Xenopus tropicalis: one gene and its partners. The protein of the gene in region 1 purifies or fractionates together with the protein of each later gene. This does not show direct contact. Links are inferred from orthologs where the notes say so. Each region holds a gene or a part of one and is shown on either strand. Other genes may lie near its edges.

Region 1 (3,659 bases):
CTGTACTTTATACTTTATTTCCACATGAGAGGACAGACTATAGCTACTTAGCTAAACATTTTAAAGGTAAAATGCAAAGAAGATTGAATGAATATTCTTTGGGGCTGATTATAAAGGTCTGAGGTCCTTTCAGCACTTGAATTATTCTTTTGAGCACAGAAAAAACTTACCCCCCCAAACTATGGCAAGTTTAAGGGAATGCAACATAGCCAGGCCAAGTAGTATTGCTGCCCAGCGTCTCATTAGCCTCATGTCTGCTTGCACCAACCCCCCTGTGACATACACCTCCCAGAGGGGTAGCTTGGCCTCTTACTACCAAACCCTACCCATCACTTTCCTCCTCCAGCTGGTTATTTGCTATCTCTCACCTTCCTTTATCATCCTCGATTGGGAGGATGATCGATCCAAAAAATTGTGCCCCCCACAAGCTGTGCCTTTGTTTATCCTTACTGCCAGCCCTGGATTTAACTCGACACATTATCATATGTTCAAACCAAAAGTGCATTGTTTGCTCTTTGTAATTAGTACTTCTGACCACTCCAATGGTTATTTCCGAACACCCCCACCCCCGTCTGTTGGTTTATGTTGTGATACAGCAGAATTATGGGGCCAGAGGCTCCCAAGGCAGGATTTGTAAGCAATTATAACATCTTTAGAGAAGGCTGTTGATTTGTTCTTACATATGCATGATGATCCTGGTTAAGGTTGATGATCTTAGGGCTATCTTCAAAGCCTGCTTGAGCTGTTGTGAAAAACTGTATTAGCGTGGCTTCATCCTACAGTAACAACAAGAAGGCAATACAAATTGTATTAGTGAAAGCAAGAACAATATCTGGGAACAGGCTTGGCAAACAGAATGAGAAGAATAGTGTTGGGCTAAAGCTATATACTGTATGTATTAATGCTGACTTTAGGGATGCACCGAATCCAGGATTCATTTTGAGATTTAAAAGAATCCCAGTTATTTCTATAGGATTCAGATGTAGGGAATGTGAGTGCCTACATACAAGGAACTTTTGGTACATATATACTTACTGTTTCTAAATATGAATGACTGATCTCAAGCTGTACTTCCACAGTGGCTTTACTTTCCCGTTCCATGTCCCCAAACAGGCACAGAATTTGAATGCAAGAAGGATCATCTTTCATGCAGTACTGGGGAAACAAGCAGACATTCTGTTACATATCTGTAATGCTTCCCATTTTAGAATAGCAAAAGAACAAAAGTTTTTGTGTTTGTGCCTTTAAGAATTAACTTTTATTTCATACGATTAATTTAATCGTATGAAATAAATGTTAATTCTTAAAGGCACAAACACAAAAACTTTTGTTCTTTTGCTATTCTAGTTACTTTTTGGGTGGAAAACACCTTGTGTATGCCGCATTTTGTATATATATGCCAATGATCTAGCACACTTCTTTTTTCTTTTTGTTTGCTTCCCATTTTAGCCTTTATTCATGCGCTTGTACAGGCCTGGGCAGCAGTCTTACAATGTTAATATGCTTGAAAACACCAGAAAGAGAAAATGAATGTAAATTACAGTAAGTTCAAATTAATTTATTTTTTGGATTTAAATCCCTTTTTAAAAAAACAGGTAAATGTTCATAGAGTTGTGCTTTAATACTCACCAGCCATCTTTTGTCCGGCCTGGAAAAAAATGCAAATAGATCACCAACTTTTGAGCGAGTGTTTTTGGGTGTTTCGCAGCCCCTTGTGTAGTTGTCAAAATAGCATTCACCAACGGTTGTCTGCAAGGAATAAGTAGAATTTTAGATGAAACTACACTGCAGTTGGCAGCTAAACTGAATTATTTTCCCTATTTGCAAGAGCATTCATTCATTTTTTTAGTAAATGTAGTAAATGGACTAAGGGCCAGGTCACAAGCGTGGATCCCTTTCTCTTGGCCCTGGGTTTTACCGTCAGGCTGAGTGACACCCATGTTTCTGCACTGAAAAATAATGAATCCGCTTCAGTGCAGCCACACGCGGCAGAAGTCAGTGGGAGTTGTTTCTGGGCAAAATTTATGTGGTTCAATTCAAGTTTTTTCAGTTTGTAAAAAAAAAAAAACATTGAAAATTATGGGTAGAATTTGATGCCTTTGATTTATTTTTATGGTTAAATTCAACTAAGTTTATTATATTTGAAATTTTTAATAAATAAGCAAACATATAAGTTTAGCAAAATTGGAAAAAAGCCTCTAAATTTAGCAAATTTGAAAATGATAAATAAGCTTTTAAAGGGGAACTCTGGCTTCCGAACCAAAACTTATTAAAGAGCCCCAAACAACACAGAAACCCCTAGTGTAATCCGTTCCTTCTAAAAGTATGAATAAATACCATTTTTCTATGCTGAAATCCTGCTGCAAAACAGTTCTTCTCTTTCTGTATCATTTGAAATCCTGGCAGGGGAGGAGGGACTAAAACACTGATGTGCATGGAATTGTGGAATTGGGAGGATGCAGGCTGAAGGCAGACTGAGGACAGTTGACTACTGTTACATTTTATTTGAGTTTCAAAGTAGTCAGCCAGATCAGCAGTAGAACATCTACAGAGATGCCAGGACACACTTTGGTATGGGGTAAGAGGTAATGAATGAAGGGGAGGGTTTTTATTTACCACTGAAACCCAAACTGCTGTGTTGGGGGATAAATAAAGTGCACAACCCACTAACAGTCCTAGGGTGGGATTAATAACATTAGAGTTTGCACCATTCAAAGGGCATAAACACTTTTATATTTGTTTGTTGTTTTTTGTAGTGGACTCACATATTGAATGGTCGCTTATTTATTAATAAGAAAAACTCATTGGCACAAAAACCTTGAATATTTTGAGTTACAAGCTTTAAAAACTCCAAAAAATTAGAGTTAATAATATCTATAGAAGCTCGCAAGCTTTTACATGGCAAATTTTTACATTCAAGTTTTCTGGGTTTTTGTACTCAGGAAATACCTGACATTCCAGTTTTCCAACCATAACTCCAATTTGAGATTTTGAAGCGGAAAATAACTCGACCCGAGAAGAAAAATCAACCTCGACTGTAGATAAATCACCCCCTAACTATCCTTCTCTTGAGAACCCTTATTAACCCTTGTGTGTTGTACTAGCATTCATTGTAACACACAATTGGTTGAGTACCCACTGACATGACTAGATAGAAGAAGACAGAGTGGGTCAAGGAAACGTACCTACACATGCGCTTAACATACCTTTACAGCCAAAATATCTAACAGTTTCACGCCATTTGGTGAGAATGTGTTAGGCAACGATATCTGAAGCTTTGCAGCCGGAACCAGACTCGATCCAGCATTAATGACCTTAGAGGAAAGAAAGCAACACAGTTACCGGTGGCAGCACCATAAGGTTTGCAATGTATATATATATGTCCATTAAGTCAGTGCATTCAAATAAATATTCTTTTTAAATTGTACCTGTGATTTCCTATTGCTGGGGTTTTTGGTCATTAATAAGCAGTACTTAAAACTCCAATGAGAATAGACTGGGTGGAGCTTTGGTTAGATAACCAATTAAAGATAGGCAAACAAACCAGAGCTGATATCAAACTGCAACAATAATAACTATATTCCCAGGACAAATATAACTGGTGTGTGTTTTGTTATTAGGCAGTGGTGTAAGGGCAGAGCCACAGAATAGATGGCCCT
Region 2 (2,877 bases), on another chromosome or scaffold:
TTACAGATAGGGTTAATGTTTAGCCCAAAGTGAAACCAGCACCGTATATTATTCATAATTGCCTACAAAATTAGGGTTTTCCCATTTATCCAATATGTCTCCTTTAAGGGCACAAAAACACCCAAAATAGGCAGGCAGCAAGCTCCCTATCACCATTCATCCAAATTCACCTCATAACATGTCTGAATGATGTAGTTGAATGTATGATGTTAGGGGGCAATTAGGAGGCTGAATAGAGGTCACCAGTGTGCCACCCCTCCTGAATACAGTGCTGCCAAACTCATGAGCATTGTATTCATCAGCAAGACTCAGGTCCTTGCACTCCATTCTGAAGTGCAAAGATCTGTGCCTGTGGGTGCTCAGCGAGCAGTAGGGTGCTAAGTGAGAAAAATATCATGACACTACCAAACCAGGGACAAATGAATGTAGGCTCTTTCTGTGCTGCACTGATTGCAAACCAATTGCCTAAAAATAAAAACAATCAGTGTAGCCCCTTTAGTTGAAATATCTAGAGGTGTCCCAGGTATTTCACATGATTGGGTAACCTTAGCATATAGTCAGTCCTGGAGAGTTTAGAAAACACTAGCAAGAGACAAGAGCAAGCACAGACAATAAATGAAACAAAGATTTATTACTTCATGTTTATAGTAAGTACAGAGAGATCTGCTAAGGATATATTGCATAAGATAACATAAAGCTTTAGTAGCTTTTGTGAAAGAAAATTTTCTAACTAGGAACTATATAGTCCTCCCCACAGCTTGTCAGTGACAGTGCATTATGGGTCGAAGAACATTTCCTGTATGACATGTTATATATGTGGCCTAGTGGCTTCTATTGACTGTGGAGGCCGCAGAGCTGTTAATGAAGCGAAAAAGACTTGAGCTCTATTCCATCCATACAGAGGAATGTAATGGTATCCAAGGGCATTCGGATGGGGAAGGTGAATTCTTGGCCATCGGATAACTTCACCTTTAAATGATCTGCTTGATACTCAAAACAAATCTGTCAAAATAGAGATAATGATTGCTGTAAGTCACACAAATAAAGACAAATATGCTGACTTAATTCAGAAAGACAGTGCCGGATAACTTGTCTGACTATAAATCCATCATCAAATCTTGTCATACTCTTCCTCATGCTGTTAAACCTTTTAACAAGGAGCACTGGGATGTTCTCAATGCTCAGTCCCTGTGCTACTCTGGCCCTTACACAGCTATTCCAGTGGCTCTCCCTGATTCTAACTACTTGCTTATGCTTCACACGCTCATGCTGCTATATTACCAGATCTTAGAGCAGTGTTTTTTTGCGTTTTTGGATTTATTTCCTCGTTTAAGGTCTAACATTTGGATGGACCCCCTTAGCTAACAAGGTTGCATATATATGAAAAATTATGATGGATACAAATATCTAAAACATAAAAGAAATGTTCATCCCAAAACTCACTGTAAAGGGAGCCCAGGCTGAGGTTTCAGGAGTATCTAGAACAGGGATCCCCAACCTTTTTAACCCGTGAGCCACATTCAAATGTAAAAAGAGTTGGGGAGCACCACAAGCATAAAAAAGGTACCTGGAGGTGCCAAATAAGGGCTATGCATTGTAAATGTCCTCTTGTATTCCCCACATAGTGGAAATAAAGTATGCTCATCCTAATTCTACACTAGAAATACACTCAACCTGGCTCCCCTCATCCCTCTATTATAAAAAGACACTATTAATAGGGGTGCCCTCTGGAAGAGATAGCTATATATCATTTGCATTTAGGAAAGAATCATTCACCTCGTCCAAAATAGTCAGGACACGGGATCACTCTCACATTTTGTATATGCTCAGAATAACCTGATTCTATTCACCATAAATGTGGCCTCAATCCATTCACTTAATCCACCAGTCACATGATCAGTTCATATAACAAATGTGTTTTATACAGGTTTCTGAACCACCTGGGTGCATCACATCCCAAAGAGTGTCCAGCAAATAGCATATTTCATTCTGGACTTTTATTTTGAACTCCAACAGCCTTGATTGGAGGCCAATCCTACCATTTTACAGAAATATTCATTAATCATGTGACCATCATATGCTCATGCTTACCGATGTCTCTGCTCCTTGTTGGAATGGGAAAGCAGTCTCCCTCTGCTCTTTCCCCCAGCAGTTTTCTTCCTTTGAGTTGCAGATGATTTTCTTGTTGTCGCCTTGGTGGTCAAATCGAGGATTAAAGTGAAGGACATAGTTTGAACTATCTTTTCCCAGGTTTATTGCAAAGCTTGAAAAAGTAAACAAAATACATGTCAGAAAGTATTGTACAACCAACGGTATTGAGTACAATAATTAGTGTTAAACAGTACAGTAATTAGGTGCCTTTACAAGGCCCAGCAGGAGCTCATGTAATCTAGACCATGTCCTGTTATTTGCTCTAGGAGACAGGCCATTGTTAAAACAGAATCTTGTTAAAACTTATTAGTATCCCCTACTATCAGCACTATGTATATATATATAGGGCTAGGCATACGTGCATTGTGTAGCCAGTGCATGGGCATCAGGTCCCCCATTTTGGCACAAGATTTTGGCATGATGAAAAGCTTATCTTCATAACAAAATGTCCAAAATGGCACCTGCCTACTTGCTGTGATTGTGAATTCCAGGATTGAAGGAAACAAGATTTAAATAATTTATATGGTGTGAATAAAGTTGATTTTTCTTGACAAACACAATAGAAAACAATTTGGAATTATTTATTAGGGTGACAGGTCCCCTTTAAATGTTTATCTTATTTATGCATTAGAAACGGCTAACTGCACATTCCTCTCTGCAGATATGCAGACAAACATTTAAAATGAAATGAGACTCTAACCTATGATCTTTTACAAATAAAAGAAC
Region 3 (3,659 bases), on another chromosome or scaffold:
TACAAACACCAACGCAGGTCTGACACAGTTCACAGGTTGGTCCTTGGAATTTAGGATCTGTACATTTACACCTTCCACAGTCACATATTCCTCTCCCGTTACATATCTGGCCATTTTTTGCCATACAAGTGGAGGTATCCTCTGAGCAGTCACAAGCACTGCCGGAGTAATTGGGGAAACATTCACATACTCGACACTTGCACACGCCTTTACCTGTAACAAAAATATGGTTTGATTTTACAATTTCAAACATCTTTAGTAACCCTTACAACAGTTGCCAGTGAATGCAAGGAGTTTGTATGTTCTACTTATGCTTTGCAAAAGGAATGCTTAAAACACACAGGCAGGTTAACTGGATTCTGATAAAACTGACCCTAGTGTTCGTGTGTGAATGTGATAAGCACCTTTGATTGTAAGCTCCACTGGGGCAGGGACGGATCAGAATGATGCATAAAGTGCTATAAAGTGCTGCATGACCAGTCAGCACTCTATAAAGACTAATAATAAAGTACTGAGACTGAATGAATGCAAGACTGCAGCTGGTGTTTCTGCCCTCTGAAACATATAAATTATGTGATCGATTCTTACCTCCACAAATCAGCCCATTGGATCTGTCACAGTTGAAGTTGTCGCATTCACAGTACTTGCCGGAGTAAACTTCATTGGGATTGTCCCGTTTTTTGCACACACACTGGCCGCATATACAGTCCCCGTTGTTACTGCAGATTTCAGAGCTATTTTCTCTTCGACAATAAGCGTCCATATCTTCGCTGTTTACTTCATCGGTGCTGCATTCACACTCCTTCCCAATGCGCCCCTCATTACATCTGTCATGGAAACAGCATAGCGATTTATTATTTTATAGCTGAAAAGAGGAGCTGGATTGGCTGTGGATAAGATCCTGTTGTAGAGGCACGTTTACAAATTCCTTTTGGCCACTTCAACCAACTGAAGCTCTACTACTCTTATTTATTAGCCATTTATATCCACTGCACTATGAATAAAATTGGCAATTTAAAAATGACATGTGATGTATTAACAATATATACATTTAAAAAAATAAGGCATTATGCACAGAGGGATTTCAAGCCAGGGCTTTAAAGTGCACTGATGCCCAATAAATGCAAGGAAGCACAATACCTGCAGGCACCACATTCGAATGTTCCATTTCCATGATGACATTCAGGGCTGTTGGGCGTCCCTTTTTCCTGGCAATCACATTCACAGATGAACTGGAGAACAATCTCTACTTCTTCGGTAAATCCAAGTGGTTTGATTTTTATGGATTCCGCTTGTCCTTTTTTGGGGCACTTGTGAGCTGTCACACTAATTTCAAATTCCACCTGTAAGAAAGCAACTCTGTTAGTATCCACTTACTTGGACACATTATGTACTGCACCGCACATCCACTTTGGTGGACATTGCATGATTTTTAACCCAAACAACCTTTCCTGCAAGCAGCTGCTTCACATTTGTTTGAATAGGAAAAAGGGATGCCTATGCTGATAAGCAGGGATTGCTTGCATGAAACAAGCAAATAGGTTTACTATAGTCCAAATCAAGGGGGTTTCATAGGCCTAAATGTGTTGGGAACTCACCTGATCTCCAATAGAAATGTTTGAACATTTCCTTCCATCCTCCCCAGTTCCCTTGACTCCATTCTTACAGAATGATTTATAGCTGATTGTTACACCCTCTGGCAATTTGCTGTTTTCCAAAATAAGTTCAGAGGAAAGAGACTGGAAACAAAAAGATCACTTAGGATTATTTTGGATTCCAATAGAAATGAACAGAGAGCTATGAAACAGTAATGAACAAAACTATAAAACCAAAAGTGCCGTCAGGGGTATGGATACTTCTGGCAGATACTTACATTATAGGAGTCAATAATCAGTTGAATCACATTGCTGGAATTTGAGGACAAGGTTCCCACAGCTGATTTTGGTATCAGATTTTTCAGCTCCTGTCAAAAAAACACAAATATGGATAATGTTACAGAGCCATTAATGTATTAAAGTTAACATTCCACTGTCCGTTTTCCGTTGCTCAACAGAAAAGGACAAAACAATGGCAGTTACTAGCAATCATACAGCAGCGTCTTGAAAATACCTTTGATGTTAAGAGTCATATATGGCAGCATTTAGCTGACCACCCCAGTAGAAATTTCTTCCATAGCAGCACTACTTACCACCAAACCTACTCTGTTCACTTTTTTGTTCTATTCTTTCTCTGCTATTCCCTTCTCTTTCTGCCCCCCTTCTCCAAAACTCCCATCCTTCTCTGACCCTTGCACTTTTCCCTTCTGCCTCTGATCTTTCGCCCCTCCAGTCTTGTTTTTGTCTCCCAGACCTATTTTTTTCCTCTTAAACTCAAGTAATTATTATTACTATTCATGTGTATATACCATAGACATAAACAAATATAAATACCTGGTAGACTGGCTGGAAATCCTCTGTAACAGCAAAAATGGTCTGAATGTTGTTTTCACTAAGTTTCTGAACTAGGTGAGCAATTGAGGGATAGTCCTTAAAAATAACAAAACAAAACAAATGAACACCCAAAAATACAATTCGTATCTACAGTATTTTCAATAATACACTGAACGTAAAAAACAAAACAAAAACAAAAAACACACCTGTAGATTACCGAATAATCATTACAATTATGTAGAAAACAGTAATTGTGAAGAAAGTTATTGAGTAAAACGGTAACGTGGGCAATACAAGATACGTACATAATAGTGGCTCATTGTGTACATGTTCCCATGCAAATGACATTTGCCATCATTTGGCAATACAATGCCGCCTAATTTTCCATCTCCGGCAAAATGGAATCCTGCGTCAGTTGAGAAGACCAGCAAGCGTGTGACATTTCTCCAACCAATTTGCTCCTTTAAGAAAAACATTAAACAGAAAATGTTAATCGTCACATAACGTGGTTTCCTATTCTGGGATTTGTAATACATAAGTACATGTAGAATATATATCACTATATGGTGCTTTTTTTGTAATCTACGTTTCATTTGCTTTGTCCACTGTGAATGTGGAGATCTGTAAAATTCTGCGCAAAACAGAGGTGCTTGTTAAATTATTTGCCTTTCCTGACCCTAGTAGTAAAAAAAAAAACAAAAAAAAAAAAAACTGTTCCTCCTTTATGTTCCTGTCTCTCTTTTAAAGCACTACATGGTTGCCAGGTTAAATTGGATCCTAGCAACCAAATACCTTCTGAAATTCTAAACTGGAGAGCTGCTGAACAAAAAGCTAAATAATTCAAAAAACTGCAAATAAATATGAAGTCCAGTTGCAAATTCTCTCAAAAAGCACTCTCTACATCAGCGCAGTCTAACTGGAGGCCCGCAGGCCGGCCGTGGCCCTTCAAAGGATCTTTATATCCCCCAGTCTGCTCAAACACCCCATTGACTTCACTATATGACATCATTTGAATTGAATTGTGCTGTATGAGATAAATAGCCTGCTACATGTTATAAGTTGGACAACATTGCTCTACATAATACTAAAAGTAAAATTAAAGGTGAACAACCGATTTAAGCCACTAAAACATGACACTGCTCAAAGGTGCAGAATTTCAAGCCAGAGTAAAATAAATGTGTGAGCTATCTATATGGGGCGGCGAAACAAACGCTGTTTGACTTTTTACAT

Evidence for each region.
Region 2: the proteins of itga4 (region 1) and lgals1.1 purify together in Homo sapiens (affinity purification with mass spectrometry; 3 studies listed by BioGRID and IntAct, with this or other methods). This does not show direct contact. The link is inferred for Xenopus tropicalis from reciprocal best matches to the Homo sapiens genes ITGA4 and LGALS1.
Region 3: the proteins of itga4 (region 1) and itgb1 purify together in Homo sapiens (co-immunoprecipitation; 4 studies listed by BioGRID and IntAct, with this or other methods). This does not show direct contact. The link is inferred for Xenopus tropicalis from reciprocal best matches to the Homo sapiens genes ITGA4 and ITGB1.

The regions. Positions count from the first base shown.
Region 1 is NC_030685.2:62,639,431-62,643,089, forward strand, and holds part of itga4 (integrin alpha-4), read right to left. Parts: intron 3,315-3,659; coding exon 3,207-3,314; intron 1,750-3,206; coding exon 1,630-1,749; intron 1,156-1,629; coding exon 1,036-1,155; intron 777-1,035; coding exon 681-776; intron 1-680. UniProt on the Homo sapiens protein: Integrins alpha-4/beta-1 (VLA-4) and alpha-4/beta-7 are receptors for fibronectin. They recognize one or more domains within the alternatively spliced CS-1 and CS-5 regions of fibronectin. They are also receptors for VCAM1.
Region 2 is NC_030680.2:122,667,158-122,670,034, forward strand, and holds the end of lgals1.1 (galectin-1), read right to left. Parts: intron 2,264-2,877; coding exon 2,092-2,263; intron 1,003-2,091; coding exon 859-1,002; 3' UTR 608-858; downstream 1-607. UniProt on the Homo sapiens protein: Lectin that binds beta-galactoside and a wide array of complex carbohydrates. Plays a role in regulating apoptosis, cell proliferation and cell differentiation. Inhibits CD45 protein phosphatase activity and therefore the dephosphorylation of Lyn kinase.
Region 3 is NC_030682.2:22,885,394-22,889,052, reverse strand, and holds part of itgb1 (integrin beta-1 precursor), read right to left. Parts: intron 2,891-3,659; coding exon 2,735-2,890; intron 2,526-2,734; coding exon 2,430-2,525; intron 1,964-2,429; coding exon 1,874-1,963; intron 1,740-1,873; coding exon 1,599-1,739; intron 1,344-1,598; coding exon 1,141-1,343; intron 828-1,140; coding exon 589-827; intron 214-588; coding exon 1-213.